Notamacropus eugenii: one gene and its partners. Each later gene encodes a partner of the first gene's protein in a complex. Links are inferred from orthologs where the notes say so. Each region holds a gene or a part of one and is shown on either strand. Other genes may lie near its edges.

Region 1 (10,371 bases):
TTCCATCATAAATGTCCATTCTTGGCAGCAAAACAAAATGTATAAGTCATAGGTATGCCTAAGTATGCCAAGAATTCATCTACAGTATTCTTGGGTCCAAGGTTTAGAGTCCTGGCCAATTTGGCACATTTTATTGCATTATGGGAATTCACTGCAAAGGTCTTGAAAATGAAAACATGTATTTTAAGCAAGATATATCTGTTTTTAAACTTTGTTCTGGGATTTCAGGAAAACATGCAAGGTAATGTTTGCATTAGTGATATCCCTCTCCTTGGAACTTCAACAAGAAAATAAAGTAGAATATGAAAAAGCCAGTCTACTATGCACTGACATGATCCAAACATAATGTGAACTAGTGTTACTTCTCTACCCTGATGAGAAGTGGATACAGGCTTTCCCCTAAATTAAATACAAGTATACAGGGATGACAGACCAAACCCACATGGAAAGAAGGATGTATCTGGCTAGATCTTGACAATCTTAGAATGTCATATGATTGAAAAAGTTCAGCTTAAAGAAACCCCAAATGGAGTGCTCAGAAAGTCCCAACAACTCAAAGGCTATGCCTGACAGTCAAAAGGAAAATAGCTCCTTTGAGCTAGGTGTGAAACACAAAACTCTTTTGAAGAAAACCTGTTTGTTCAAGTGACCAGCCAGAGTTGTGTAAACAATTAGAGGGGAAGAGAAGAAGCCCTATAAGGGGTGCTGCCCTGTTTTACTGACACTGAATTTCGTTGATACTTTAAATCAATATACTGTAGAAATTAAAGGGCCTAGCAAAATGCATCAGTAAAGACAAGAACATTAAAAAAAAATAAAATACTAGTAGTATAAAGATTCTTACCATATCTGTAGTTTAATTCTTTTGCCATCTAGCTCTATGGTTCTAATTTTGAAGTCAATGCCTGAAAGAAAAATGTGACATTACTAGTACATTTCAGAAGTTCACTACTGCTTTTGTCATGTGTTTTCATTACAGCCTCCAAGCCTCCTTTTCACCTCAGTGAAACCAACTGCACATCCCTAACTCAGCTCTCCAAACTGTACATTTACAAAAGTCCCTGTGGGGCTATATGAAATAGAGCCTGAATGAAGAGAATTGATTCTAAGAGGACAAAGAGCCAAGCTTTAAATGATAAAGAGTCTTAAGGGTAACCAAAAGAAAGTATATGTAATAAAATAATGGCAAAAAACCACAGCAGACAATTAGTCCAAAGCAATAGAAAAGACTATCACACTATATTGCTAGAAGCAAACTGCCCTCATCCAGCTTTTCATTATATTCCAGGGTATGACTGCTAGATGCTGATTCTAATTAAACTCCTCTTCACTGTTTGTGACAAGAATTTAAAGGGACATGTGATCAGAGGTGATGAATTTGTACTGCCCTTAAGGCAACACTTTGTTTCATACTTTTCTTTGGTTTTGTTAATACCATAAGCTTAATTAAGAAGTGTAATTTATGGGGCTTAAGAATCAGGCCTAATTACAAGGTAAAGAGACAAGATGGTGCAGTGGATAGAGCTGGCGTTGGAGTTAGTAAGACTTGGGTATGAATCCCGCCTCAGTGGGCCTGTCACCAAGCAGCTGTGTGCCCCCGGACAAGTCATATAACTTTTCAGTGGCCCTGGCAACTCTCTAAGACTATAAAATGCAGAACGTCAATCTATATGGGTGGAAAGAGTTTGCTTTTAGGGAATTTTACAAAACTACAGAAATCATAGGTTCAGTCTCCACTCTCCCCTCTTCCCCCAGATTACAAAGTAACAAACCTTCCTGCCAATACAGAGATAAAAGACAATAGAGAAACTAAACTTCGTTGAGGTGGGAGTATCAGTATGTGGAGTCTAGGCTAGGCTTTTCCACTACTCTCTGGGTAACCTGAAACAAGTCATTCTTTGAACTGATTTTCCATCAGTGAAATGAAGGACTAGAATGAAATGATCTCAAAGCCCACTGCTGCTTGAAAACACTAGGATTCCTAAATGAAAACCTGAGAGTGGATCTCAGTAGAACTGGTAAGGAGCTGGAAAACTTCTACGGTGAAATATTCAGGGAGTAAATACAATAAAGGTCTAGGTTAAGAACTAGCTATGCTACTACCGCACATGTACTACTTTTTGATTTGCAGGGAAGTAAAGAGGCTTTAACTTCCACTTCTCAGAGGGTTTTAAAGAAACCAGAATGAATCAGTAAGAAAGAAACCTATGCTCAGAGTGGGACAAAGTCACTAAACCAGCTATTTGCACTCCCTTCCGTAAGACCTCAAGCCTCTAAGAATAGGAAGTTTCAGAAACTCCAAAAGGGCAGGGACCATTCTGTCATGTAATATGCTTTGCAGCTGGAAGGGACCTCAAAGGTCATCTAGTTCAATTCCTTTACCACTTTTGGTATCCCTATCCCTTGGCACAGCGCCAGCTAGTAGTAGGCACTTGATGTTTATTGAATTTAATTGTATACAGATGAAGAAACCCAGACAATTAAAGTGACTCCCCCAAGGTCACACAGGTAGTTAAACAGCAGAACCAACCAAGATGTAAAGTCCAGATCATCTGATTCAAAAAGTCAATCTTTCCAAGGCTCTACACTGCCTCTCCATTCAGCTAATTTTTGAATGGAACCAGCTCAGTCCAAGTTACTCTAAAAGCTGGAAGAGCACTGCCAGCAGCTCCATAAGTACCCACTATTCAATACCTTTCATATTCACATCTTTATTCAACAAGTCTCATTTACTGTCAATGCAGGTGCTTTCTAAACTCAAAGTTCCTCTATGGAGTAACAGCTGAACTTTCAGAGCATAAAGATACGGAAGTCTGGCTGGAGCTGATTAAGGTGCAGTGGGGTGCTTTTATCTGACAGTCATCTACTTTTGATGACACAAAGGAAGGTACTATCACTTCATCTTAGCTTCAGGACTATTTTAACCTTATAATAATGAGAGGGCTGAAAACAGGAACTAAGGTTACTTACTCTCAACAAATGTCATAAACCAAAAAGTGACTATACAAATGTGAGCTATTCTTAGAGACCAGAAAGAACATCTAGTCCAATGCCCTCATTTTACAGATGGGAAAACTGAGTCCAGAGAGGGGAAATCACTTGTTCAAGGTCACAGAGTTAACCATAAGGGCCAGAAGTAGAACCCAGGTCTTCCAGTATTCTTTCCATTATATGCTACTGCTTCTTCTAGTGATCTCTCTTTGGAAACAGGGAAGTCAGAAGGGAAAAGTTGGGAAGTGAGAGGGAAACACAACTGCAGTGGTACTTGGTGACCATCTTCTGGGTTTCCAGGCTCTATTTCCACTTTCATAGCCAAAACACTTAATAGAAACAGAGCTGTGGTGCGCATATTGGGAGTTCAATTTGAAACTAGCTACTGGCAGAAGGAGCTCTAGACTGAGAATTCCTGCCTTGTAAGGTGCTTAAGAAACCTTCGGGGACCTGGAAAGAATCAGCAGTCTTAGGTCACTAGGCAATGTGAGACTACCCATCTCTCTGCGACCTTGGGTAAATGAGTCCTCTTCTCTGGGCCTCAGCTTCCCAAGCCATAAGAATAGGGTCGGGCGGTTCGGAATTGGACTAATGGATCTCGGATGCCGGCTTTCTCATCGTGTCAGAGGCTGGGGAACCTAGGGGTAGACAGGTCGCAGCATCCCTGGGCGGGGGATGGGAATGGTAAGTGTGCCCCTAGCTTCGTGGGGACATGGGAGGGAGAACCCTAAGGAAAGCAACATAAAAGCCACATTGTGAGACCCTCCTGGCCCTGGGTTGGCTGGCCACACGGTCAGCCTTTGAACCTGGGAGTCAGAGGTAAATTGGAGGCAGGTAGTCCACTTCCCATAGCTACCTGGACCCCGGATCCCGTCCCAACCATCCTCCCACAGCCAGGATCCCCCCGATCATGAAAGATGGGGTGGGGGCTGTTCCTCCACCACCCCCCTGATTCCGTTGTGCTCTCCTTCCCCTGCCAGTAGCTTCTGTTGTCTCAGTGCCTGCTGGTTCCCTCTCAGACACTCCGGCCCGCCGTGGTTCCCTTCCCAGCCCGCCCCCCACCAAGCCCCAGGCCCCTCTCCGTCAGCCCAGACCCCCTGTTTTCCTGTTGTTCCCTCCCGGTCAGCTCCGCTCCCCGGCCCTTGCTGCCCTCTCATCCCCACCGTGGCTCCCCGTCAGTCCCCTCCGGGCCCTGCCGGCCGTCCCGGGCCCCATTCCCTCCCAGCCACCCGGGGCCCCGCCTCTCTGCCCCTTCTCCCAGCCCCGCTACCTATAGTGGAGATGAAGGTGGAGTTGAAGGCGTCCTCGGAGAATCGGAACAGGACACAGGTCTTCCCCACCCCCGAGTCCCCGATCAGCAGTAGCTTGAACAGGTAATCGTAGGTCTTCGCCATATTACACACTATACCTCCTCGACGGGAAGTGCCGGCGGCGCCTCGACACTGGACGCCGCCCTTGTCAATCTGCGGCGCGCCCGCCCACGATTGGCCGAGATCCCGTGGCGCGTCACGGCGGCCGCCGCCCACCCCTCGCCGGCCCCCAGGCCCCCTCGGCGGGCTCCGGGAAGAAGATGGGGAGACGAAGCAGGAAGCAACCCTGAGCGTGCCTCCCATTGGCTGAGCTCGCGTTCACTTCGACAGCTTGGTCTCGGGATTGGCCAGAGATAGAGACTCGAGGTTCAAATGGGGACTGGAGTGAGAGGGGGTGGAGGCGGGGACAGGGGAGGGAGGGGGCCGCTAATTCCCCGAGCGGAGCCCAGAGACCCCGCCCTTGCCCTCAGCTGGGCGGGGGAGACCTAGCCCGGCTCCCGCGCCCCGAGGCGAGGCTCCGCCCCTTCTATGGGGCGCGGGAGGAGAGTCACGTGAGAGGAAAGGGCGGGGTCCGGGCGAGGGGCGTGGCGCTGAGGGGGAGCTCTGGAGCCCGGAGCAGCCGTTAATCGCTCTCCGCAGCCGTTAACTGAAGCTGCCGGCAGGAGGCGGTCGGCTTCTCCTCGGCCGCCGCCGGGTCTGGAGGGAGGAAGCGGATCCCGCCGCTGGCTTGAGGCAGCCGGCAGCACCTCCAACCCGCGGACCCCGGAGACCGAGGCTCCTCCGCGAGGCCCCCCCCCCCAGGGCGTCATTCATCCGTTCATCAGTCCATCCGTCCGTCCGTCCGTCCGCCCGTCCGTCCGCCCGCCCGTCCGCCCGCCCGCCCGTCCGCCCGTCCGTCCGCCCGTCCGCCCGTCCGTCCGTCCGTCCGTCCGTCCGTCCGTCCATACGCCCGTTCATCCATCCATCCGTCCGTCCCTTCATTCGTCCATTGTTCTGTCTTTTTTTCCCTTCCCCTTATTGTTTTCTTCGAATTCCTTCCACGACGCAGTAGCAACTTCTCTGTAGCTTATTCTCGTAAAAGCCCCCTGGGGCGCGGAGAAGTTCTGTAACCTGCCCAGGGTCACACAGCGAATAGATGGCGTGTGAGAGGCGGCCTGAGAGCCTGGGCCTCAGTGCCAGGCCTGGCTGCCTCTAGGGATTGTAAATTCATCCCAGGGGAATGTTGAAGTCAGATATTCCCTTCCTCCTTCCCTCCTTCCTTCTCTCCTTCCTTCCTTCCTTCCCTCCTTCCTTCTCTCCTTCCTTCCTTCCTTCCTTCCTTCCTTCTCTCCTTCCTTCCTTCCTTCTCTCCTTCCTTCCTTCCTTCCTTCCCTCCTTCCTTCTCTCCTTCCTTCCTTCCTTCCTTCCTTCCTTCCTTCCTTCCTTCCTTCCTTCCTTCCTTCCTTCCTTCCTTCCTTCCTTCCCTCAGTTCTTTATGACCCACTATCTAATGTTCACACCTCCATTCTCAGAGCTTCAGCTTCCAGGGTGGCTTAAAAAAAAGAGCAGGGGAGTGTCATTCTCCTCTTCAAGTAGCTTCAATGGATGCCCATTCCCTACCAGATGACATGTACACGTTGGCCTTGCAGGCTCTCTGCAATCTGACTTTCCTTTTTCAAATCAAAGGAGTTTCAGACATAGACACATAACTGAAAAATGTATAGCATTCCATAGTAAGTGCATTAGAGAGGTGCAAAACAAATGACTATGTGAGAGAGATTGTTGCCTGCCCCTTCCCTCCCACTAGGGACAGCTAGCTAGAAGTGGAATTTGATTTGAAGGTGAAAGGGTGAATTGTGTTGTGTCCCTGTTGCCATCCCAATTGGTTTTTAATGGAACCTGTGATTTCATTGGTATCATGAGCTGGCAGGGAAGAAACTCCTATTTATAAAGAGACATCTGCTCTGCCCTGAAGTCTTAGAGAGGGGGCTCAGAGTTAAACGATTTGCCTATGGTGAAGCAGCCAGTTTGAACTGGAGGCTGTAACTGAACAAAGGTTGTGCTAGCTGTCTACAGATTACACCAGTCTCCTTCTTTTCTCCCATACCCTCTTCCACCATTACCCTGCTTTTGTATCAGACTCTTACACCCTGTGGTTTCATTGATATAAGGAACTCCCAAATGAGTTCTGCCACTGTCTACCAAGCATGTTGGCACCTTCTCCCTAACTTAAAGTCTTAAGAGAGTTGCCTAAAGTACGAAGAAATTGAGTCACACAATCAGTATGTCATCAGGCAGCACTAGAACCTGGTCTTCCTAGCTCAAAGGCCAGCACTTGCCTATGCTGCCCCACCCTGTCTTTTATATCTTGTAAAGTCAGTATGCATTTACTAGTGTCTATGGAGGGTTTGGGCTAAACTCGTAATACAAAGAAAGGACAAAACAATCCCAGCCTTCAAGGAATTTACAATCTAACAGTACAAATGACTATATATAAATAAGATATATACTGGAGAAATTGGAGATGATCTTTCAGGGAAGGCACTAGTATTAACAAGACACCAGGAAAGATTTTTTTGCAGAAGGTAGGATTTTAGATGAGACTTTAAGGAAGTTGGGAAAGCCAGGAGGCAGAGGCAAGGAGGGAAAGGATTCTGGATCTGGGGGATGGTCAGTGAAAAGACTGATCTTTGAGGATATGGAGGTTTTTGTTTGAAGGAGCTTTTTGTTTGAAGAACAGCCAGAGGAGCCTGCACTGGTAAGGAGACCAGAGTCACTCTTTGGGAGAGTAAAGTGAAATAAGACTGGAAAGCTAGGAAGAGATCAGGTGATATGGGCTATGAAACCCAAACAGATTTTATATTTAGCCTAGAGAGTGAATGAAGGGGAGGAGAGCCCTCTGTCACTTTAGGAAGATCACTTTGATGAATAAGTGTAGACTGGAGTGGGGAGGGGTCAGAGGCAGGGTGACCAAGCATGAGGCTATTGCAATACTTCAGGTGTGAGGTGATAGGGACTTAGAGCAGGGTGGTGACAATATCAAAGGAGAGAAGGGGTGTATATGAGAGATGTAAAGGTAGACTCTACAGTACTTATTAACAGAATGGATGTGGGGAGTGAGAATGACATCTCTATTGCAAGTCTGGGTGACTAGAAAGATGGTGGTGTCCTTGACCAAGGAAGTTTGCAGTTTGCGGGAAAGATAATGAAATTAAGTTTCGGACGTATTGAGTTTAAGATGTCTATGGGTCATCCAGTTCTAGATGTCCAGTAGGCAGTTGGAAATATAATGAAAATCAGGAGAGAGGTTAGGACTCGATAAACCTGAGAATCATCTGCATTGAGATGATGACTGAACCCATGGGAGCTGGCCACCATGCAAAATAGTAGAGAGTTAGAAGAACTTTGGGGTATGACTGTGTTTAGTAGGCATGATGTGATCATTATTTTTGGAGAGAACTGTTGCAATAAAATGATGTGGGAAGCCAGATTATAGAATTATGAGAATGAGAGAAAAGGAAATGAAGACTTCAGTTGTAGGTGGTCTTCTCAAGGACTTGAAGCTACAAAAGGGAAGAGAGATGGGATGATAGGGAGGCTGGACAGATCAAGTGATTTTTTTTTTGCTGAGACTGAGATATTTGTAGGCATTGGGGAATCAGCCAGTACACAGGGAGAGATTGAGTATTAGTGAGATGGAGGATGATGGAGGCAATCCACTGGAGAAGGTAAGATGGAATGGAATCACTTGTGCATGTAGAGGCATTTACCTTGGCAAGAGTGAGGCAAGAGTAGATAGTGGCAGAAGGTATCTGAGTGGTGTGAGAAGAGGGGAGAAAAGGACATTCTTTTTTTCCAACCAGTCCTTGTATGGCATGAATCCAGGTTTCTTATAATTTTACCCTTTTCTAGAAGCTTTCCAGCTTTCTTCCTAAAATGTGACACCAAAACTGAACACAGTAGTCTAGATCTGTTTAGAGCAGAATGCAGTAAATGCTTAATAATTGTTGATTGATATTATCACTTTCCACAGTCCTGGACAAAAATAACCTGTCTCTTTTAAACATTTTTATTGATATATTTTTTTTACATCACCTAGCTTTTCCAATATGTTCCTCCTTTTTCCTTCTTCCTGGAGACCTATCCCTTAAAATAAAGACTAAAGGAGAAAAAAAAGCTAGTCAGCAAAACTAACAAATCAGTCAAGTCTGATATATGGAATGTTCCACGCCTATAGTCTCCTATATCCACAAAGAGCAGTATTTTTTTTTTTTTAAAGTACTGGTATCTTTAGTTTTTACATCACCTACATTTCTTAATATTTCTTTTCCTACTTCTTTTTCCAGAAAGCCATTCCTTGTAACAACAAAAAATCTGCATCCATTGTGCCCCACCTCTGCAAAGAAGGGAGGTACATTTTCCTATCTCTGATCTTTGCTGGTGTTTGTTGTTTGCTAAGCCTTTTAATGCAGTCCAAATTGCATGACTTTACTGCCATATCACAGTGTTGACTCACAGGGAGCTTGCAGTCCATGAAAAAATATCTAGAGATCTTCTCAGATGAATTGCTGCCTAGCATGCCTTCCCTATGTTGTAGTTGTTTGTGAGGTTGATTTATTTTTTTAATCTTTAGTGGAATATTTTCCATGTAAGTCCTATTAAATCACATCTTATTGGAATTGGCCAATTTTACAACTCTTGTCACTTGTGTTAGGTATACCTTTCACAGACCAGGGGACACATTTGCAGAATTAAAATGGAAAGCATTCCCCAGACCACTCCAGTAAACATTTAGCGGCTCTGCCTGTTTTCAATTCAAAACCAGTTACACCAAAGATAACAGCTCTTTGTAAGAACTGGAATTTGACACATCTAATTGAACTCTTATTTTCCCTTCCCTTACCACACATTACCTTCTATTACTATTTGTATCCGGGTATTTCTCCCCTACCAGAACATAATAAACTCCATTGGAGACCATGTCTTCTTAGTACCCCTATGGTTTGTAAGCATTCCAAAAAAAGTTTGGAGAAAGGATGAAGTAATGCATATTGGGCCTATCATGTTGGTAGTACGTAGAATAAGTGTCCAAATGATGAAGACAGAGAAGTAATTTGTTAGTTTATAAGATCTACATATAAAAAAAGCCTTCTTGGTATACTTTATTATTACAGTTTTCAGTGGTTACCTAGTTGAAATGGCTCTTACATGAGGAAAAGTGGATATAGATATGTTTTCGTTTATGAGTATAATTGATATTTCCATTTATGAATGTCCCTTGATGATTTAAGAATTCAGCATTTCCGTGTCTTCCCCACCACACACCCACATACATACATACCACACCACATTCAAAAACTCAAAATAGTTTATGTAAAAATTTATTTGACCAAAAGCTAGAAAAAGGTGATACTATTACATATGATACATTTGGTAAAGATCTAAATGAAAAGCTCTGGTTTCATTCAGCTTCACATTTCCTAGTGTGTTTCTGGGTAGTGTGATGCTTAATAAATAGGAATGAGGACTGGGATTATATGCTAGAAGCAGGGTAGTTTTGAATCACAACTGTAAACTTGAGTCTTCATATCTATTCCACACTACTGTGGAATAAGGAATGTTTTAGCACTGAGCTGTACACAAGGAAACCGTTTAGCAACAACAAATAGGCACTGTCTGATTCTTTGAATCCAGTTCAATCAGGAGGTTTTTGGTCTTTATTAAGTTGGTCCCCAAAATAGGGATTAAAATCCCTCTAAAATAAAACAACCTTCCATTTGCCATACTATGGCAGTCTAAAATAAAATTAAGACAATTAGAATTTTATTTTTCCTTTAGTGACAGTGAGGCACCTTTAGCCTTGTATTTCTAGCCAACAGATTCATGGACACAGAAAGTGGCACGGAAAAGGGCTGGAATCAACGATGGGAAGCACTACCATGCTACAACCACCAGAGAGACAGGCTGCCATATGAATTTCCACTGAATTTCTGGCTGACTTTGTGGCTGATGCTCAGCCATACAGAAATCAGGGAACCGAACAAGAACAAACAATGTTCTTTATTTGGAAAGAAATTTTCAGTTGCTTTGT
Region 2 (9,945 bases), on another chromosome or scaffold:
TCAAGATCTTTCCGGGAAGGAGTGGGGGGGAAGAGGCCCAAAGGGTCCAGACTGGCCTTGGCCAGAGAAATTCAGTGGCACCACCGTGGATCGGCCTGTGTCAGGCCTGAAGTCAGGAAGACCTAAGCTTGAATCTAGCCTCAGGTACTTCCTAGCTGTGTGATGCTGGGCAAGTCACTTACTTCACCTCTAAATTTCTCCATCTATAAAATGAGGACAATAATAACACGTACCTCCCAGGATTGATGTGAGGGTCAAATGAGATATTTGTAAAGCCCTTGGCACAGCGCCTGGTGCGTAGTAGGTGCGGTATAAATACATATTTCCTTCCCTTCCCTCACATGACTCTCAACCCTTTTTCTTACAGGCCAGCAGAGCATCCCAATGGGTCCCTGTCACCCAGTTCATCCCCAATCTCTGACCCTGTGCCCTTTGGGAAGGGCTAAACATCCATAGAGATAGATCATTCATTCCACATAATCATTATCTCAAAAAACACACAGTGGCTACTGTGGGTCAGGCACCAGGGGTACATAAACAAGAGTGGAACGTCCTGCCTTGAAGCAACTTAGCTTCTGCTGGGATTCGGAGCAGGGAGATTAAAGAAATACGTGATAGTTCTGAGAGGGGGGGCCCTGGCTGGGGGCCAACTCCAGACTCCCCCACTTTCCCCTGATCCCCTCATTTAACCTGTTTAGGTCTTGGGGTCTTTGTCAGTGAAACACGAGGTCAGAACAGATGATTCCTGAGATGCCTTCTGGCTCTAAAATTGTGCCCTGACACCCCAACAATAATAAAATTAGAGCCAGGTTGTGAAGGGTTTTAAAAGTCAGAGGGACTTCTTTTGGCTCCTGGAGGTAATAGGGAGTCATGGGTATTTAATGAGGGAGAGCAATGACAGGGTGAGATCTGTACACTAGGAATGTCATTTTAACAGCTGTTTGGACATGGACACAGATGTGTGGAGAAAGGAGTGGGCTGAGAGTCTGAAGGTAGGAAGACTAAATGAGAAGCTACTGCTTCAATAATCTAGGAAAGGGGATGAGGGGTATGGTTTAAGAGGTGAAGAGGTCTAAAAACAAGACCTGGAACACATAAGGGAGCCTGAGATCAGGAGATCGGGAGCCTGGGGGATCAGAAGGACAGTGATGCCTTTGACAAAAACAGGAAGTCCAGTGGAAGGGCAGTTTGGGGGATGAGGAGACAATGAGCCCAGTTTTGGACACGTTGAATTTAAGATGTCTATGGGCTGGAGTCAGGAGGACCTGAGTTCAAATCCAGCCTCAGACACTTGACCCTAGTCACGTTCCTCAATCTCAATTGCTTCCAAATAAAATTTTTTTTACATTTTTTAGTAAAAGGATGTCTATGGGACAGTGAGTTTGAAATATACAACAGGCAGATAAAACCAAACAAATATTCACATGCCTATGAGCTCCCCTAGTCCCCAAATCCCAGGATTCGAGAGCTGAGAGTGACCTCAGTGGCCACCTAATCCTAATCCACCAGTCCATAAACAAAAGGAATTCCTGTTATAACATACCCACCAACTGGTCCTGCAGCCTCCCCCTCCAAGGAGGGGGAGCCCATCACCTACCATGTCTATTTTTAGACAGCTAATTGTTAGGAGGATTTTCTGGACCTGGAGTCAGGAAGACTTGAGTTCAAAAGTAGCCTCATACACTTACTTAAGTGACCCTGGGCATGTCGCTTAAGCCCATTTGCCTCAGTTTCCTCAACTACAAAATGGGAATAATCATAGCACCCATCTCTCAAGAATATTGTGAGGGTCAAGAGATGATACGTGTAAAGCATTTAGCCCAGTGCTTGGAACAGAGTAAGCGGCATATAAATGTCGACTATTACTTCGTTTTTATTGATATCAAGCCCAAAGATTCCTCTCTGCAATGTTCACTCATAGCTATTGGCTGTGCCCTCTGGGACAAATATTTCAAATATATGAAGCCCCTCCTCTCCCTGAGATATCCCTCAGCTCCTCCAACAGATTCAAAACCCTTCCCTCTGTAACCCTGACTCTCCTCTGAACCCTCTCCAATGAATCGGCCTCCTTCTTAAACTTGGATTTTGGAATAGAATCTGACAAAGGTAGAGGACAGTGGGACCAACCACTGGAAGATGCACTCCTCATGGTACAGCCCAAGACTGCATGAGCATTTCTGGCTGCTTCCCCCCACTGCTGATTCATACTGAACTTGTGGTCCATTAAAATCCTCAGGTCCTTCTCTGAACTGTTATCTAACCAGGCTCCCCACCAATCTTATGTTTGTGAAGTTGATTTTTTGTACCCAATTACAAGACTTTAAAATGATCATTATTGAATCTCATCTTATTTCAGGCAGTCCAAAGCTCTGGCCTGTTGTAATCTTTTTGGATCCTGACTGTCATTCAGTATCAGTGGTGTCCCAGCTTCGTGTCATTGGCAGATTTAATGAGCAGGTCATCTATGCCTTCATACAAGTCTGTCATGGACAAAAGATTATATATCCCAGTGCCAGACTGAGAGACCTCAAGCTGCAGTGACATGGAATCATGAGTCCAGCCATCCAATCAGTTCTGTATACCACTGATTTTATCCTCACCTAATCCCTATCTCTTAGTATGATGGACTTTATCATAAACTTTGCTAAAATCCAGGTATAAAATGTAGTCATAAAATTCCCCTCTCTACCAGCCTAGTAATCTTATCCCCAAAGGAAGCTAACGCATCATGGAATTCCTCTGGTCCCTACCCCTCACTCCTCACATCTTTCCCTTCATAAGAGTCTAAATTTGTCCCCTGGCCTCGGTTTCCTGCTCCCTAAATCATGGGGTTGGATTAGTCAATGATTCTTAACCTAGGGACCCCATCCACGTGGATAGATATCAAAGGATCTGTGAATGCAGATTGGGGAAGGTGGGGGCATACATATTTTCCCTAACCTTTAACTCAAATTTAGCATTTCCCTAAATTATTTGTAAACATGACTGGGCAGAGGTTCATTGGCATCACTACTAGACTGCTCCCCAGGAGATCAGGACACAAAAGAGATGGAGAAGCCCTTGGTGTGGATGCCTCCCAGGTCCAAGTCTTACTATTCTACTGGCAGAGACTGTGTATTACCTACCTCTGTGTTCTGATGGAACTCATCACTATTGGAGAACTTCCTGAGGGCAGAGACTCTGGGTTTTCTCTAAAGGTTTTCCCCATTCCAATGTCCAGCACAAGGCTTTGTATATAGTAGATGCATAATAATTGTTGGTTAAGCATGAATCTGTTGTTGAATGGGCTTTTTCTGCCTAATGGGTATAATAATCCTTGCACTGAGAGCCAGCCTTGAAACTGGGAAGACCTGAGTTCAAATCTTGCTTTTAACACATAACTAGCTGTATGGCTTTAGGCAGCTCATTTAAGCTCTTAGTCCCCACCCCAGGCAAGACCATGAGTTATAGATGAGTTCCCTAGCTTTATCAGAAGAAAGACTTTTCCATGCAGTTTCAATAAAACCTTTGTCTGGACCAAACAAAAGAAACCCTTGGACTCCCAACCTCCTAGGAGAGCAGAGAGAGATGCTATAAAAAAATGAACTCTAGTGGTCACATCAAGTTAGGGGGCAGAAACTCCAGCCTCCCAATGTCGTTTTCTTTGCACCTTAGGCAAGAAGGGAGGCAGGGTGGTATGGGGTAAAGAATCCTATCTCTGGAGCCAAAGAACCTGGGGTCAAACCCTGCCTCTCTTATTTATTCCCTGCTGTTTGACCTTGGGCAAATCACGTCCTATCCTTGGGTCTCAGTTTCATCAATGACCTCGAAGGTCTCTTCCAGTTCTAATCTATGGTCCAGTGAAGAAAACCTCACTGGACTGGCTGGTGTGAGAAGCCCTGGCCTCTGTGGTGGGTTGTGGGTGGGGCACTCACCTTACAGGTTTCAGCTGAGCAGTGTCCATGGGTCCTGGGGAGATGTCAGCACACGGCCTCCTAAGGTCCACTTCTCTCTTTTCCAGGCCAAGGATCGTCTGGGCCCCTCTGCTGGGATGGCTACAGCTGCTGGGGTCTACTTCATGGTGCACAGGTAGAGTCCACCAGGCCCATCTGAATAAACACCCCAGAGGTCTCTCCCAATTCTTTGCTCAGGGGTCGCTGGGCCCAGGAGGTGATGAAATCAGTTTCTTGCCCTGCTTTCCCATGGTTATAGTGGTGGGATGGAGTGTGGGGGTGGTCCAGCTTAGTGGTGCTGGAGGCCCTTCAGACTAGGCCCTCAGATATAAGAGTCTTTGGATGCTCAGGAGGCCTGGACCCAGGTCCAAGGGTCCCTCATCCCTTCTTAAGCCAGCCAGCTCTCTCCAGCCTTCTGTTCTCACCCCTCCCAAACAGGTGGATCTCTTTCTTTCCAACTGCTTTCACCCTCCTCACTCAGTGGGCAGGGTATGGACACCTTCTGAGGCAGGAGGGAACAGAGGGGCCCCTTCAGTCTTCAGGTAGCCAACCAACCCCTCTGCACCTCTCTCCTAGGCCCTGGGGGTTTTGTCAGGGTGGGTCAGCCCCCAGGGCCCCTCCCTCCTCTGCCCACCTCCAACAGGGGGTCCTGCTCTAAGCCTACTGAGTAAGATGGCTCTTGGGTTGGTGTCCAAGGGCCTGGGGGGCTGTTGGGAGACCACTGTGATGCGCCCCTGTCGCTGTGGTTACCCTAAGTGTATGATGATGTCAGCATTCTGAGGGCTGGAGCCCCACACTGTCCAACTACAGTTATCTCCCTGGGACTTGTAGTTTGCTGTGTCCATACTGTCTAAAGCTCTGTGTCCAGCCTGTTTCTATCACAATCTAAATAATAATATTAATTGTTATAATGTCATTAACTTAATCTTGATTTCTTTGAAAGGTATCTAGCCTTGGAGTCAGGAAGACCAAATCAAAAGTATGCTGGGTCTGCAGTCAGAGGCTCTTGGTTCAAATCTCACCACCTGTGACCTATAACCTTGATCTTGCAAAGCCATACCTGGGCTCATCTTTAGAATGAAGAAAACATTCCACATGACCTTTAAGATCCCTCATTTTTAACTCTGTGACCCTTTGCTAGCCTGTTGACCTTGGACAAGTCCCTTAGGCTCTTCCTGGGTCAGTCTCAATCCTCTAAGGCCTCTCTCTAGGACTATGTCATTCTGTATTGACAAAGGGAATTTCCATAATGGGAGTTCCCTAGACAGGTGATTACAAAATCGCTATTATATTTAATTAATTTAACACTATTATACTACTGTCTCACTACCAGGTAGGCTAGAGAAAGAGAATGTTTTCAGGCACAACCCATTACTCTCATAAACTGTCCATTAAATCTCAGAAGGGTTAGGCTTTACAGCTTATCCAGTCTGTATAAATATGAATATATATAATATATACAAATATAAAAATTGAGCACCTGTGCTAATGAGATCCTTGAAACATGATTTATGATATATTATAAAATAAAATAAGTTATTGGGCTCATTAATGTGCTTAATAATATTTAATATTTAAATAATACTTTTATTAATATGATAAGGAAGGAGGAAGTACCTGGGAGCCAAGAGGGTGGTTGACAGCATCAAAGACTGAACAGAAGTCAAGACGGACAAGGTCAGCAAAAGACCAGTGCAGCAGTCCAAAACTCCTTAATCCCATTTTACAAATGGGGACACTGAGGTGCATGCCACTGGTGAGAGGGCTTGCCCAACACCGTGTGGGGGAATAAGGCTCATACACAGAATACGAACTCTGTTCCCTTGACTTTAATAGAAGTACTCTTCGAATATCACACCCTAGCTAGAATTAGTCCCCCAATTTATAGATGAGAAAACTGAGACCCAGAGAAGAAAAACTTAAAAAAAAAAAGAATAGATTTTTATTACTTTTTTGTCTTCATATCACCTGGATTTTCTCCTCTATCCCTCCCCTTCCCTCTACCATCTATTCCCTATAACAAGGAATTTATTTTCTAAAAAAAGAAAAGAAAAAAATTCAACAAAAACTAATCAGTTCATTGGAAAAAAATTGATATGATAGGCAATGTTGTGGGCCCCATCCCCTAGCTCAAAAAGGAGGGGGAGGCATGGAAGTAGCTTTCCTGACACTCCTTGGCAGGTCCCCTGATTTTAAGTCTAAAGCTCTTTCCACCACCCACCTAAGAGGCTGTAACAAGAATGAGAGAGTCACGGACCCCTAACTCTCCCCAACTCATCTTAAAGGAGCTCAGCTTGCCCTCACAACACAGACTTTTTCTCAGGAAAAAAAGGAAGGTCAAGGGGCCAGCAGGAGGGCCCTTTGGGGCTAAGGCACCCTCCAGTGGTCGCTCTGGGAGAGGCAGGGACTTGAAGCCCAGAATCCTCACAAAGCTCCCCTCCTGCCTTGGCACCCTAATGGAAAGAAGAGGGAGTATGAGGCTCCCTAAATCAGCATTTCCCAAACTCCCTGGGCCTCAGGACACTGAGGGAGGGGAGGACCTGGTACCGAGTGAGGGAACTTGGAAATGCTCTCAGGCTGGCTGAGCCCTACACATTTCACCTCTTTTGTTACTGCAAGTGTTTTCTGTGCCCTCTAAATCTGATGCCCTGAGACAAATCCCAGTTGCCCTGCCCTGATTTTGACTCTTGTTAGTGATCAACAGATGGTCCTTTGTTTACCCTTGCTCTTTGAAGGCAATGTACCATTTCCCAAATGCAGCCTAGTCCATTTGTGGGGTCATAGATTTACAGCAGGGAGGGGCCTCAGAGTTCATCCAGTCAAAGCCCCCACCGCCCGTTTATAAAATGAGAAGTCTGAACTTGACCTCAGAGGGTGCTTCTAGCTGAGGAAGGTTGGCTTTTGAAAGCAAACACTTTGAGATTAGAGAGAGGGTGATTCCATGTTTTCTTTCTTTCTCTCTTTCTCACCTCCTTCCTTCCCTCCTTCTCTCCTCCTTCCTTACTTTCTTCTTTTTTTGCTAATTTGCATATTTCTTGTAATGTGTGCTTTTATTTTAATTTTAGCTTTATTTTTGTCTGTGTGTTTTTATATTTTAGGAAAATGTCACTGATATCTCTGGTTTTCATATCACATCCGTTTTCCCAACATCCCTCCATCCTCTGAGAGAGCTAGACCTCATCACAAAGAGTGAAAAAGAGGGGGAAGACAGTCTGTCAGAAGGCACTGACGCATCAGCCAAGTCCAGTATCATCCCATGCACTGACTTGCACCCATAAGCACCCCCTGGACCTCTCCTACCCTTCACCCCTCTTATATCAGCCTGTTTCAATGCTTTGCTTACCTATATGTGTTGTTAAAGAAGGTGCCACCTGCACTGGACTCTCTTTCCAATGTCAGTGAAGGCCAGGGTGAGGAGTCTGAACTTCATCTCATGGGTAACAGGAAGTCACTAAAGGTTTGTGAAGGCCAGCAAAGGTCGAGATGTGCACATAAGCCTTATTATAATGGATCTGTGAACTCTCTGGTAACCCCTGGTGCTGATAGAAGCCCATCTTAGTCCTCTCCTCCTTAGGAAAGGAACTATGCCTTTAAGTCATTCAAGGTCACCTAAGATTTTGGGGTTTTCAGGGCAACCTCAGCTACAGTTAATCTCCCAGTCTGTCAATGGCCCACCATTGTCATGGAGGATAACAGAATCTTGTGCATTTGGAGAGGTCTAAGGTGAGAGATTAAATAATCTGTGACATCACTGGTATGAAGAACTCCAAAGTGAGGAAATTCCCTCCACTGAAGCAGGTTGGTTCCTTTTTTGCAACTTCTGGAGCACTGAGAGAATAGGGGACTTGGCCAGGATCACACGGCCAGTACTTCTCAGAATTAGGACTTGAACCTGCGTCTTCCAGTCTTAGAGGTGAGCTTCTATTGGTCATACCACACTGTCTCTCATACTGGATACAAAATCAACTTTTGTTGTGTTGAGTTTTTGTAGAGACCGTTCTTGTTTGTCCGTCATTGCTAAAGAAAATCAATGATATCCTGGGGTGATGCCTTGACTTGTGTATAAAGTGGATTTAAGTGAGGAAGAGCCTCACAAAGTTGTCTCTCTTCTAGGGTCATCAGAATCCAGTGGCAGGGCAAAAGTCAGGATGATGGCTATGGCCCAGGATGAGGTGGGTGACCTTGGCACCTTCCATGTCCAAACAAATGCTAAGTTCTCCGTCGCATGTGCTTTAGTCACCTTCGTGGCCGCTGGAACAAATCATTCTCCTGTACCCGTTCCACTGGGAAAAATCTTCACATGCTTGAGGCAGACACACTCCTAACTCACCAATGGGTTTGAGGTCCATCAGTTACCTGTTACCTGGTTTAGTCCATCCAGCTTCTTGGAGTCACAGGTGAGAGCTGGGTGACACGTACACGAAAGGTGGATGAGCAGTCCTCCCACCAGAGGTGCTGGTCCTCCCTAAATACCTCACACATCTCACGTGTGCAAAGGTGAACTGGAAATACATTACCCTCAAATCCACCAAGGGACTTTAATTTTAGTTTAAAGTGATGCCTTTCATTCCTACTGTCCCTCCCTTGACACATGAGAAAGCTATTAAATCTCTCAGTGCCTCAGATAGCTCTCTAAAATGATCATTTGTAGAGGGGTTGCAATCTGCATTGGTAAAGAGAGTTCTCTCTTTAGTAGTTCCACATATCAATGAACTCTCAAGTTCATACCTACACCTATCCTTGTGTTTTTATAGCCCAAGCATTTCCAGCTGTTTCTCTTTCCCAGCCCCAGACATACATGCCCACAATCATGTGAGTCTTCCCTTATAACAAAGAAAACCAGCTCTCACCATAACCTTATCTGATGGTGTGGTCAACATTCTGCACCCATAATCTCTCACCTCTCCAGTCAAAAGAGGGAGATACATTTCCTTGTTTCTTCTCCAGGGCCAAAATGGGCCATTACAATAATGTTCATTAGGCTTTATTTCATTGATCTTTTCACTTCCATCACTGAAGTTACAATGTTTTGCTTTCCTGATTCTACTTGTTTCACTCTGCATCAGTAGCTTGAAAGATTCCCATGCTTCTCAGAATCTCCTTTAATTGTCTTTTCTTACAACTCAATAATATTCTACTCCATGCATGTACCATGGCTTGTTCAAACATTCCCCAAGCAATGGGCACTCATTTTGTTTCCATTTTTTTGTGACCACAAAAGTGCTGCTATGAAAATATTTGTATATATGAGAACTTTCTTTCTGTCCTTGGCCTTCTTGGGGGCATAATCCCATTGAGGATTGCCACAATGGCACCACACTGGCTCGAGTATGAACCATTTAGTAATTTTCTCACATAATTCAAATTGTTTTCTAGATTGACATACCAATTCACCACTCCACCAAGAATGTATGAGTGTTCCTGTAGTCCTTAACCCCTACCAAGTTCTCGACACTGATCTTTGGGTTGGTCTTAGCATAGTGAACAGAGTGCTGAGCTTGAAGTCAAGAAGACCAAGGCTCTGATACTTACTAATTGTGTGACCTTGGAAAAGTCACCTAAACTTTCTCTGTCTCATTTAGTTTCTTCATCTGTAAAATGGAAATAATAGTAACATCTCATAAGGTTGTTGGGAGGACCAAATGACATTATTGTGCATGTGTGTGTATATATATATATATATATATATATATATACTGAGAAAGAGTGCTTAAGATGCTGCTGAATGTTAGCCATTATTACAGATTCTTCTAAGAGAATGGTATTTGAGGATTCAGTTATTTGACATTGCTGAGAGAATACTTAATACTTAAGCCTTCATATCATGTCAGAACCTGATATAACTTGGTGTTTACTGACTATATTTCTCTCTCTCTCTCTCTCTCTCTCTCTGTCTCCCTCCCTCCCTCTTTCTCTCTCTCTTTCTTTCTTGTGTTTCCCCAAACCTTAAACCCAGTGTACTTTGAAACCCATGGATTGGACAATAGGTCCCTGCCCAAACTCCACTTAATGG
Region 3 (9,433 bases), about 20 Mb from region 1:
TGAAAGCTTATTGTTAAACATTTACCAGAACACTACCAGAAGAGGATAATCTTGGGAAATGCAAATGGTATCAAAACAAAAATATCAATAAAAATTTAGATAGAAGCTACCTAGTAAAGCTATTGTGAAGATCAAGTTGGATCATGTATGTAAAACATTTTGCAGATCTTAAGCAGCTATGAAAATGTTAGCTATGTTTTTTCCTGCGTGGGATCAATTTATTGTCTCTTCAGTGTAACTCAAAACCCAGAGAATAGATTTCACCTTCCAAGGGAAGCAAGAAGAAGGCAGTATTGGATACTGCCAAGAGGGCTGACCTTGGGTTCATCAGACCCGAATCAAATCTTGACTTATGGGACCCTAGGCAAGTCCCTAATTATATTACAATTAGGAAAGAAGTGAAAGGAACAAGCATTTATTAAGCATCTACTGCATGCCAGGCACTTATGCTAAGTGCTTTACAGTTATCAAGTCATTTGATCCTTACAACAACTCTGTGAAGTCATTGCTATTTTTACTCCCTTATTTTACATTTGAAGAAACTGAGACAAACAGGGTTAAGTGACTTGCCCAGGGTCAAACAGCTGGTAAATGTAGGAGGCTGGCTTTGAACTCAGGTCTTCCTGACTCCAGGCCCATCACTCTGCCCACCGTTCCACAAGTGAAGGATACTAGAGACCTACCTACACGATGGCAACCAGAATGGCAAAGGTCACAAGTCTATACCATAAGATCATCAGTTGAAATCTGCCTTGGTACTCTATATGTACCTTATATTATAGAAGCGCTTTTTGTGGTGACAAAGAACTGGAAATTGAGGAGAATGCCTATCAGTTGGGGAACAGCTGAAGAAGCTGTGGTATATAAATGTAATGGAATACTATTATGCTATAAGAAATAATGTGATATCATTTTTGCTTATCTCCTCAGTAGGGGTGGAAGGACCTGGGAGGGAGGGAGATAATTTGGAACTAAAAATTGAAAAAGAAAAGAATGTTTAGAAAAACAATAAATTTAAATGTTAAAAAAAGAAAGGAAGAATGATCAGGTGGATTTCAGAAAAACCTGGAAAGACTTACATGAACTGATACAAAATGAACTAAGCAGAACCAGGAGTACAATGTACAAAATAACAGCAACATTGTGTGATGATCAACTCTGAATAACTTAGCTCCTCTCAGCAATCCAATGATCTAAGACAATTTCAACGGACTCATAATGGAAAATGCTATCCAAATCCAGAGAAAGAACTGATGTATCCACAACACTTAGGACAGTGTCTGGAACATAGTGGACACTTAATAAATCCTTGTAAATTGATCAGCTGAAGAGACTGGACATGTTTCACTTTGAATGATTGAAGAATTTCCTTAGGGCTTATTTGTATGCAGAGCAATGCGCTAAATACTCGCTATATAAATGGAAAAATTGGACAGTCTCTGTTTTCAAAGAGCTCACAGTTTTTTAAATTGTGTTTTATTTTTCCCCAGTTGCATGTAAAAATTAATTTTTAACCTTCTATTTAAAACTTTGAGTTCGAAATTCTCTCCCCACATCCCCTCATTGAGAAGTCAAGCTACTCGATATAGGTTATACACATGTAGTCATGCAAAACATTTCCATAATAGTCATGTTGTGAAATAAAACGCAGATCAAAAAACTCAATAAAAATAAAGTTTTAAAAAGTATGCTTCAGTCTGTATGCAGACACCATCAGTTCTCTCTCAGGAGGACAGCATTTTTCATCCTAAGTCCTTCAGAGCTGTCTTGGATCATCGTATTGCTGAGCTGATCATCTTACAATCGTGCTGTTATTTTGTATACAGTACATTCACTTTGTATCAGTTCATGTAAGTCTTTCCTGATTTTTCTGAGAGCATCCTAAGAGCTCACATTCTAATGGGGGAGACTTGGAGTTACTTTGGGGGACAGGATAGCTGCTTTCAACTATCTGAAAGTCTGTCCTGTGTGAAATGGATTGGATTTTCTCTCCTTGGTCCCAGAGGGCAGAACAGAGGGCTATAGTAAATTGAGGTTTGATGTTAGAAAAAAATCTTTCTAAGAATTGGAGCTCCCCTAAAATGGAATGGGCTATCTGTGGGGGAGGTAGTGGGTCCCCCTTCTTTAAGGGACTTTGAGCAGATGACCTGTCTAGCTCAGGTACATTCAGGAGTTACAAGCCTGCCCATGAAGGCTCTAAAGTCTGCACCTTAAGACTCTTCTAAGCAAAGACGACCAAAGGCCTCTTTGATGTGCTGGCCAAAAAGCTCAGATAAATAGAGCTACTCTCTCTGACATTACTTTCCTTCTGATACGTGACCGGCAGCCTCATATGCACATTACAGAACGTGCATCTCATCTGCTGTATCATGGGGGTGCCCAGCTTGATCCACACAGGAAACTGGTAGAGTGGATATTTAAGGCCCCATCACTGTGCTGGCTATATAGCTAGCACAGTTCTCCTTCGTAGATAAACTGCCCCAACTCAGGTCTTCCCCCACAGAAGGGTAGGGAAATCAGGGCTTTCTTCAGGGCTCTGAAAGTAAGAGGTTCCTAGGTCCTTCAGTTCATGAAAACAACTGAGCTTGGCGCCTAATCAGTGATGAATGGATGAATGGAAAAGCATTTATTAAGTGTTTACTATGTGATAGGCACCATGTATGGTACTGAAGATACAAAAACAAAAGCCAGACAGTCCTTGCTCTAATAAAAAATTTTAATAAAAAAGAATAAACACCAAAGCTTAAGTGGGCTCCTTCCCTTCCTAGCAGTGTTAGAGGGAAGCCTGGGCCTCCCTGCCCGGGATATCAAAATGACTAGTTAGAAGTCTGCTTAGATATACGCACACCCTTCAAGGTCCTCGGTGTTTCTTGATAGAAGATGATTAGGGCTGGATGAGACCTACAATCACACGTACAATCAGAACACCTATAGGGTGCTGGGCTCAATTCTGGACACTGTATTTTCAGAAGGACACTGGCAAACCGGGAAGGGCTATTGAATGTAATCAGGGGCCTGGAGATCCTCCCTGCTGAGCAAAGAGGAGTGAAAGGAATGGGCAGGGGGAAGAAGCATGCTGGCTGCACAGGTAGCCCAAAACCTTCATTTTGCAGATGAAAGCACCGAGGTCCTGGAGAAGGGAAATGAACTGCCCAAGATCACCCAGGTAGTAAGTGATTGTCCAAGCTCTGTTTGAGGACCTCCAGTACATCAGACTCTACACCACCATTTTAGATAGCTCTAAGGAAGCTCTCTCTCATATTGAATCAAAATCTCCCTCCCTGTAATTTCCCCTCTAAACTGCTAGCTCTGCCCTCTGAGGCCAAGCAGAAAAAGCTCTCTTCTCATCTTCTCATCCCATCTATCCATCTATCCATCCCAGCACCAGCACTGAATGATCCTTGCTGTACCTTATTTCCTATGAACTGTAGATCCATCCATACTAACATTGCTTCTGGAAAGGCATTGCTAATAGACTGCCCTATGTCCACTCACCCATCCCTAAATTTTCTCCAGTCTGAGCATGCTCAGTTTCTTCAATGGATCTTTGTGTGATCTGGTCTCCAGTCCCCATGCCAGTTGCCCTACTTGTGCCTCAAACATTGTACATGTTAAAAATTCAGTGGGTGGGGGCAGTTAGATAGCATGGATACACTCTCACTGGCCCTGGAGTCAGGAGGATCTGAGTTCAAATTCAACCCCAGACATTTAGTAGCTGTGTGACCCTGGGCAAGGCTCTTAGCTCGATTGCCTCCCGAAAAAAAACCATATAAACAGGATAACTCAATGGTATGTACATACCTCTTCCGTGTTTGGGGGCTGCCCCTTGCTTCTGAGCCCCTCCACCTCCTTTCGAAGGCTGTCCCTCTCCATCCTGAGCTCCTCTACTGTCAAATTGCAGTCATTTACTAGGGACTCCAGCATCTCCAGGATTCGCACGATTTTAAACTGGAGCTGGGTCACCCTGGTGGCCACATCCTTGGAGTCCCCAGTGATGGCCATTAGGTCCCTTCCCACTACGTAGGAGATGTCATAGACATCCTCGGCTGTCAGCTGGAATGGGTTCTTCCCCAGAGCTCCTTCGGGACCAGTCTCCTCCTCTTCCTCCTCTTCCTCTTCCTCTTCTCCTTCTCCTTCCTCTTTCCCTGGAGAAGGCTTTTTTTCCATGGCGGTCCAGTTGTTGCTTCTCCGGGTCCTCCAGGCCTCCGGACCTGGGCCTCTCGGAGACAGACTTTATTGGTGACAACCCCGGCCTTTTAGTCAATTACACACAACTTCCTTCCTCTGACTTTAGAATCTTGCAACAATGCAAGAGTTGGGGGGGGGGCGGGGGGAATGGGATGTCTGAGGAGTGACCAATCAGGGCAGGTCGGAGAGGTGGGACTAGAGGGAGACAGGAGCAAAGTTAAATGGGCCAAAATAACTGTCCGGGACGGAAAGGCGGGCCAAGGCTGAGCCCTGGAGTTAGCGAGATAAGAGACCTGACAATGGTACCAGGCAGATGGAGGAGGGGATTCTGAGACAGCCCCACCCCCACCCCAATCTCCCCAGTTGGAAAGGAAGTCTGGAGGATGCGGGTGTTTGGAGGCCTAAAGGAAATGAGACCCGGGCTAAGGACGCCTCTGCCAGTCCAGAAGCCGTCTGTAAGGGGTGGAGGGTTGTTGCAGACGGGGAGGAGCTATTCCTTGCCTAGTAACCAGGACGCGGCCCCTGGGTTCCTATGGTGAGGGAGTGGAGGAGGACGCATAGTTTTTTCCTTCCCAGACTCGGCCTGATCAGGCATAGAATTATTATTTTCAAATATGAGTGGTGATCTGGGTTTCTGCGGGGGAGAGGAGGTTATTTTCATCTTCTGGGGTCATCAAGGGACACCAGGTGCAGTGGAAAAATGTGCCGTATTTGGAAAGTGAACATCTTGCTCTATTTTTTATTAGCTGTGTGACTAAGCAAGTCAGTGGATGTCTGGATCTCAGTTTTCTCATCTGTCAAACAGGAGGGTTGGGCTAGATGGCCTCTAAGATTACTTCCAGCTCGGGGTCTTGCCACCAGATTTCCCTCCAGCCCTCCTGGACCAGGAATTCTAGTCTCCCCTTCTCTGATGGGAAGGCAGTCCTACAGGTACCTCTCAGAATATGAGGAGCTGGAGATAGTGAGTGAAAAAACTTTAATTAAGGCTTTACCATATAAAAAGCCTTGTGATACAAAGAAAGGCAAAACAAAATGAGGGCTGTCCAGAGTTCATCAAGAAGCTGAGTCTTTAACCTTCTTGTGTGTCCTGTACCCCTTGGTCCAGGTGAAGCCTGAGGGCCCTTTTATTTGAAGGAAATGCTAAATTCCAGTTAGAGGTTAATGAAAATAAAGATGTATTTTCCCCACCCAATTCAGAGATCCCCTGAAATATATCATTAAGTCTCTTGAAGGTTGGGGGTGTCTCCAGGGTAGGATCCCCTGGTCTAGACTAAAGCCCAGTGGAGTCTGTTTCCCAGAATCTCTGAATTGTGTAAGGGCTCTCCCAGGACATGGAGTCCAACCCATACTGGACACAGGGATTCTCTGATATGCCAAAGGGTAGATGCTTTGGGGGCAAGGCTTGGACTAGAGACAGGGAATGTCTGAAGAGTGATCAATCAAGGCAGTCTCATTTTTAAAGCAAGACAATTGGATCAGATAATTTTTAGGGTCTTTTCTAACTTTAGAATGAATGAAAGTAAAAAATATTAAAGGCTTACTGTGTGTCAAGTAATGTGCTAAGTGCTGGGGATGTAAGTACAGGAGGGAAATAGTCCCTGACCTCCAGAAACTTCCATTCTAAAGGATTATTCCAAAAATGTAATTATGTCAGTTTGGTGTTTTGGTTTGTAGAAACACAGGGATGGTGAGCAGAATCATAACTAACTTAGCTTTATCAGTGAAAATGGCATTAAAGAAAAAGCAATGCCATCTGCTTTGCTGCTGCATGCCTGGTCTAAGGACCACGGGACCTTTCCATCTGATGTGGAACCCTCCACATGGTCATCTCCCCCATTAAAATGTCAGTTCCTTGAGAGCAAGGACTGTTTGTTTCTTTTTGTATCCCCAACACTTAATGAATGCTTTTTTCATTTATTCATTCATTTCATTCATTCATTCATAAAGCAAATTCTTAACAAATACTCTACCTACCTACCTATCCATAAAGGAAGTTGACATATCTGTTTCAGCTGGAGAGGCATATACGTCCCATGTGGAAGGACTGATGAGGGGTGTGGCCAGAGCCATCCTACCTGTAGGATGTGGGAGACATTCACTAATCAGAGAAACATGGGCTCAAGGGATAGAGTTCCAGAGCTCAAAGCTGTAAGTCCTTCAGGGCATGGTCTGGATCTAATAATAATTAACAATTATGATAATTATTAGCATTTATATAGCACTCTAAAGTTTTCCAAATGATTTGCAAATTACCTCATTTGATCCCCACACCAACCTTGGAAGGTAGGTGCTATTATTATCCCCATTTTACTCATGAGGAAACTGAGGCAGACAGGTTTAGTAGCTTGCCACAGCCAATAAGTTTCTGAGGCTGGATTTGCCTTCAGGTCTTCCAGACTCCAAGTCCAGCGCTCTGTCCCCTGAGTCATCCTGTAAGTAAAGTGGATTTTAGTATGTGTAAAGTGGATTTTTGTTATTCTTTCTTAGAGTTCAGTTTCCCAGGATCCATAGTCATAACAATCTCTTGTTCCCAGGTATTAGATATAAGTTCTCACAATTATGGTTCAAAATATCTCATGATGTTTGTGCAACTTTATATAATGATAAATAATTTAAACATTTGTGCTTAAATTATAAACATCTACTGTGACTGCACAGTGAGATACAGGGATGAGGTGATGTAAACTTGTGAGGCTTTTGCTGGCAATATGCATCCTTTGTCTGTTGCCCTATAAAGCAGGTGGGCGCTGGTCAGTGAATGGGGAACCCTTAGGGTTGAATGGACAAACTAGAATTCTCTGTGTGCCTTGACTGGCCCCCATTGAAGCTTTTGGGGATTGAGGGGAGTGCACAAGCTGTGTCTGTCTTGATTGACCCAATCAAGACCTAGGGGTCTTCAAGAAGGGTGATTAGGTAATGCTATAGGAGTTGTGCTCCCATTATTGACAACCTTCTTGTGAGAAGACTAGACTGGAATACAGTAAGATTATTAACCCCTTCAAAGCTGTCTTAGTGTCTTTTCTGTCTGACCAGATCAAGAGTGAACCTGTGCTAGCAGCCCTCCTGTGTGCTATGTTACTTGCCTTAACACCACAGTGCCTAGATGCCACTCAGATCCTTCTATTACATATCCAATTAAGTGCTCTTTTATCCTGCGTTTGAAGACAGCTTGCAGCCTCAGTTTCCTCATCTGTAAAATGGAATTAATGAAGGATACCTGGAGTAGCTACCTCACAGGGTTGTTGAGAGGATCAAGGAGGTAACAGATGGGGAAACCTTTGAAATGCATGAAGCTGCTGGAGACTGTTCTGCTTGGCCCTGGGGTAGAATGGAAAGAGCTCTTCTGAAGACGTGGGTCCATATGTGCCACCTCCTATTTATGTAATGTGCTCTATCTTCTGTGCCAACCTAGCTACCCAGGCAGTGTTATTATTATTTCTTTTTTTTACAGTGGGGAAACTGAGGCTGAGAGAGGGCAAGTGATTTGCCTAGGGTCAAAGAACTAGCAAGGATCTTAGGTAGGATTGACACGTAGGTCTTCCTGACCCTAAGTCCAGTGCTCTGGACATAAAGCAGTGGGCCTAACACCTAGCAGTTTCTAAATACCCAAAAGTACCTTCCTAGGTTAACTAGAGGCAACTTGGTGGTTCAGTGGTTAGAACACTGGTCTGGAGTCAGGAAGACCTGAGTTCAAAATCTGACCTCAGTTACTTATTATCTGTGTGACCCTGGGCAAATCACTTAACCCTGTTTGCATCAGTTTCTTCACCAGGAAAATGAGCTGGAGAAGGAAATACAAACCACTCCAGTATCTTTTCCAAGAAAACCCTATAGACAGCATTGGCATGCTATAGTATATGGGATTGTGGTTAATCTACTCAGCCTTGGCACTCTGCCTTGAGGAGTTTGCTATAAATTCCTTGAGGATTGAGATTATTTTTTCTTTTTTCCTCTGTGTCTCCCAGTTCTTAGCATAGTATCTAGCATATATTAGGGACTTAATAAAGGCTTGTTGACTGTTTGTTTGATTGGGACTTTGATCAGGATTGGTGAAGGAGAGTAAACTCAACTGATTCACTGTATCCAGTCCACTAAAAGACTGTGCTTCCCATCCCATCCATCCATCTGTCCATCTACCTGAATCAGCTCTGATTGATCATTGCTGTACATTGTTCCCTTTCCACCTCTTGGTCTGTGAACAGAAAAGGGATCTCTTCTGGAAAAGGGATGATAATGGATTGCCCTATGGTTGCACTCCCCCTTCCTTGTGACCCTCCAAACCACAACTCCCTTCCCTAGCTGCCATTTCACTATGGAGGCTGGCTTCCTCATTAAAATGTTCAGTTCTTGAGGGCAAGAACTATCTCGTTTGTGTATTTTTATCTCTAGCCTGTGACACAGTGCCTGATATGTTGTAGCTGTTTAATAAATGCTTTCTCTATCCATCCAGCCATCCAGACATTCTCACACATTTGTGTGCAATTAGATGGCATAGCTAATAGAGAGTGAGACACAGAGACAGGAAGTCCTGAGCTCAACTCCTGCCATAGAAACTTACTGTGTGACCCTGACAAGTCACCTAACTTCTGTGTGCCTCATTTTCCACCTCTAAATAAATCAGTCATACCACAGCACATGACAGCTCAAAGCACACTATAGATCATCTTGTCCCATTCTATTATTTTCTGGTGGAAGAATAAGCCGATATCCATAGCGAGCACTAGCTTGCCCAATTCCAAAAGATCAAATTTGTAACAGGCATTTTCTAACCCTTCTTCTAGGAGTCTAGCTCCATTCAATTTAACAAGCATTTATTAAAACACAGTGCCTTGCCAGGAAACTGAATCACTTCCATTTGAAATGTCTTAGGAAGATTTTGAGGATCACCTGGCAGGATAAGGTACCAGACACTGAAATCCTTGCTCGAACTGAACTGCCAGGCATTCAAACTCTGCTTCAGAGAGCGCAACTCCGATGGACTGACCACATTGTTCAAATGCAAAATGTACACTTGCCAAAAAGACTATTTAATGGAGAACTCGTATGGGGCAGGTGATCTCATGGTGGTCAGAAGAAGCGATACAAGGACACTCTCCAGGTCTCTCTCAAGAACTTTGGACTTTGACTATACAACATGGGAGACACTGACACAGAACCACTCAGCATGGCGTGCCCACATCAGAAAGGGTGCTGTGCTCTATGAGTAAAGTAGAATTGAGCCAGCACAAAGGAAACGTAGGATGCA

The links.
Region 2: the proteins of RAB8A (region 1) and RAB3IL1 are in contact, whole or in part, in a crystal structure (PDB 4LI0), measured with the Homo sapiens proteins. The link is inferred for Notamacropus eugenii from reciprocal best matches to the Homo sapiens genes RAB8A and RAB3IL1. Residues at the interface, in NP_005361.2 of Homo sapiens: Lys10, Phe33, Ser35, Phe37, Ile43, Asp44, Phe45, Lys46, Ile47, Gln60, Trp62, Thr72, Ile73, Thr75, Ala76, Tyr77, Arg79; in NP_037533.2 of Homo sapiens: Arg104, Glu108, Leu111, Glu112, Thr115, Ala116, Phe119, Glu120, Ala122, His123, Arg127.
Region 3: the proteins of RAB8A (region 1) and RILPL2 are in contact, whole or in part, in a crystal structure (PDB 6SQ2), measured with the Homo sapiens proteins. The link is inferred for Notamacropus eugenii from reciprocal best matches to the Homo sapiens genes RAB8A and RILPL2. Residues at the interface, in NP_005361.2 of Homo sapiens: Ile41, Gly42, Ile43, Asp44, Phe45, Lys46, Ile47, Lys58, Trp62, Phe70, Ile73, Tyr77; in NP_659495.1 of Homo sapiens: Leu135, Leu138, Arg139, Leu142, Gln143, Arg145, Asn146, Lys149, Ser150, Leu153, Glu157.

The regions. Positions count from the first base shown.
Region 1 is NC_092875.1:59,137,938-59,148,308, reverse strand, and holds the start of RAB8A (ras-related protein Rab-8A), read right to left. Parts: upstream 4,720-10,371; 5' UTR 4,605-4,719; coding exon 4,262-4,604; intron 906-4,261; coding exon 845-905; intron 1-844. UniProt on the Homo sapiens protein: The small GTPases Rab are key regulators of intracellular membrane trafficking, from the formation of transport vesicles to their fusion with membranes.
Region 2 is NC_092873.1:13,632,186-13,642,130, forward strand, and holds the start of RAB3IL1 (guanine nucleotide exchange factor for Rab-3A), read right to left. Parts: upstream 4,620-9,945; 5' UTR 3,944-4,619; coding exon 3,915-3,943; intron 1-3,914. UniProt on the Homo sapiens protein: Guanine nucleotide exchange factor (GEF) which may activate RAB3A, a GTPase that regulates synaptic vesicle exocytosis. Promotes the exchange of GDP to GTP, converting inactive GDP-bound Rab proteins into their active GTP-bound form.
Region 3 is NC_092875.1:38,796,676-38,806,108, forward strand, and holds the start of RILPL2 (RILP-like protein 2), read right to left. Parts: upstream 4,594-9,433; 5' UTR 4,168-4,593; coding exon 3,802-4,167; intron 1-3,801. UniProt on the Homo sapiens protein: Involved in cell shape and neuronal morphogenesis, positively regulating the establishment and maintenance of dendritic spines. Plays a role in cellular protein transport, including protein transport away from primary cilia.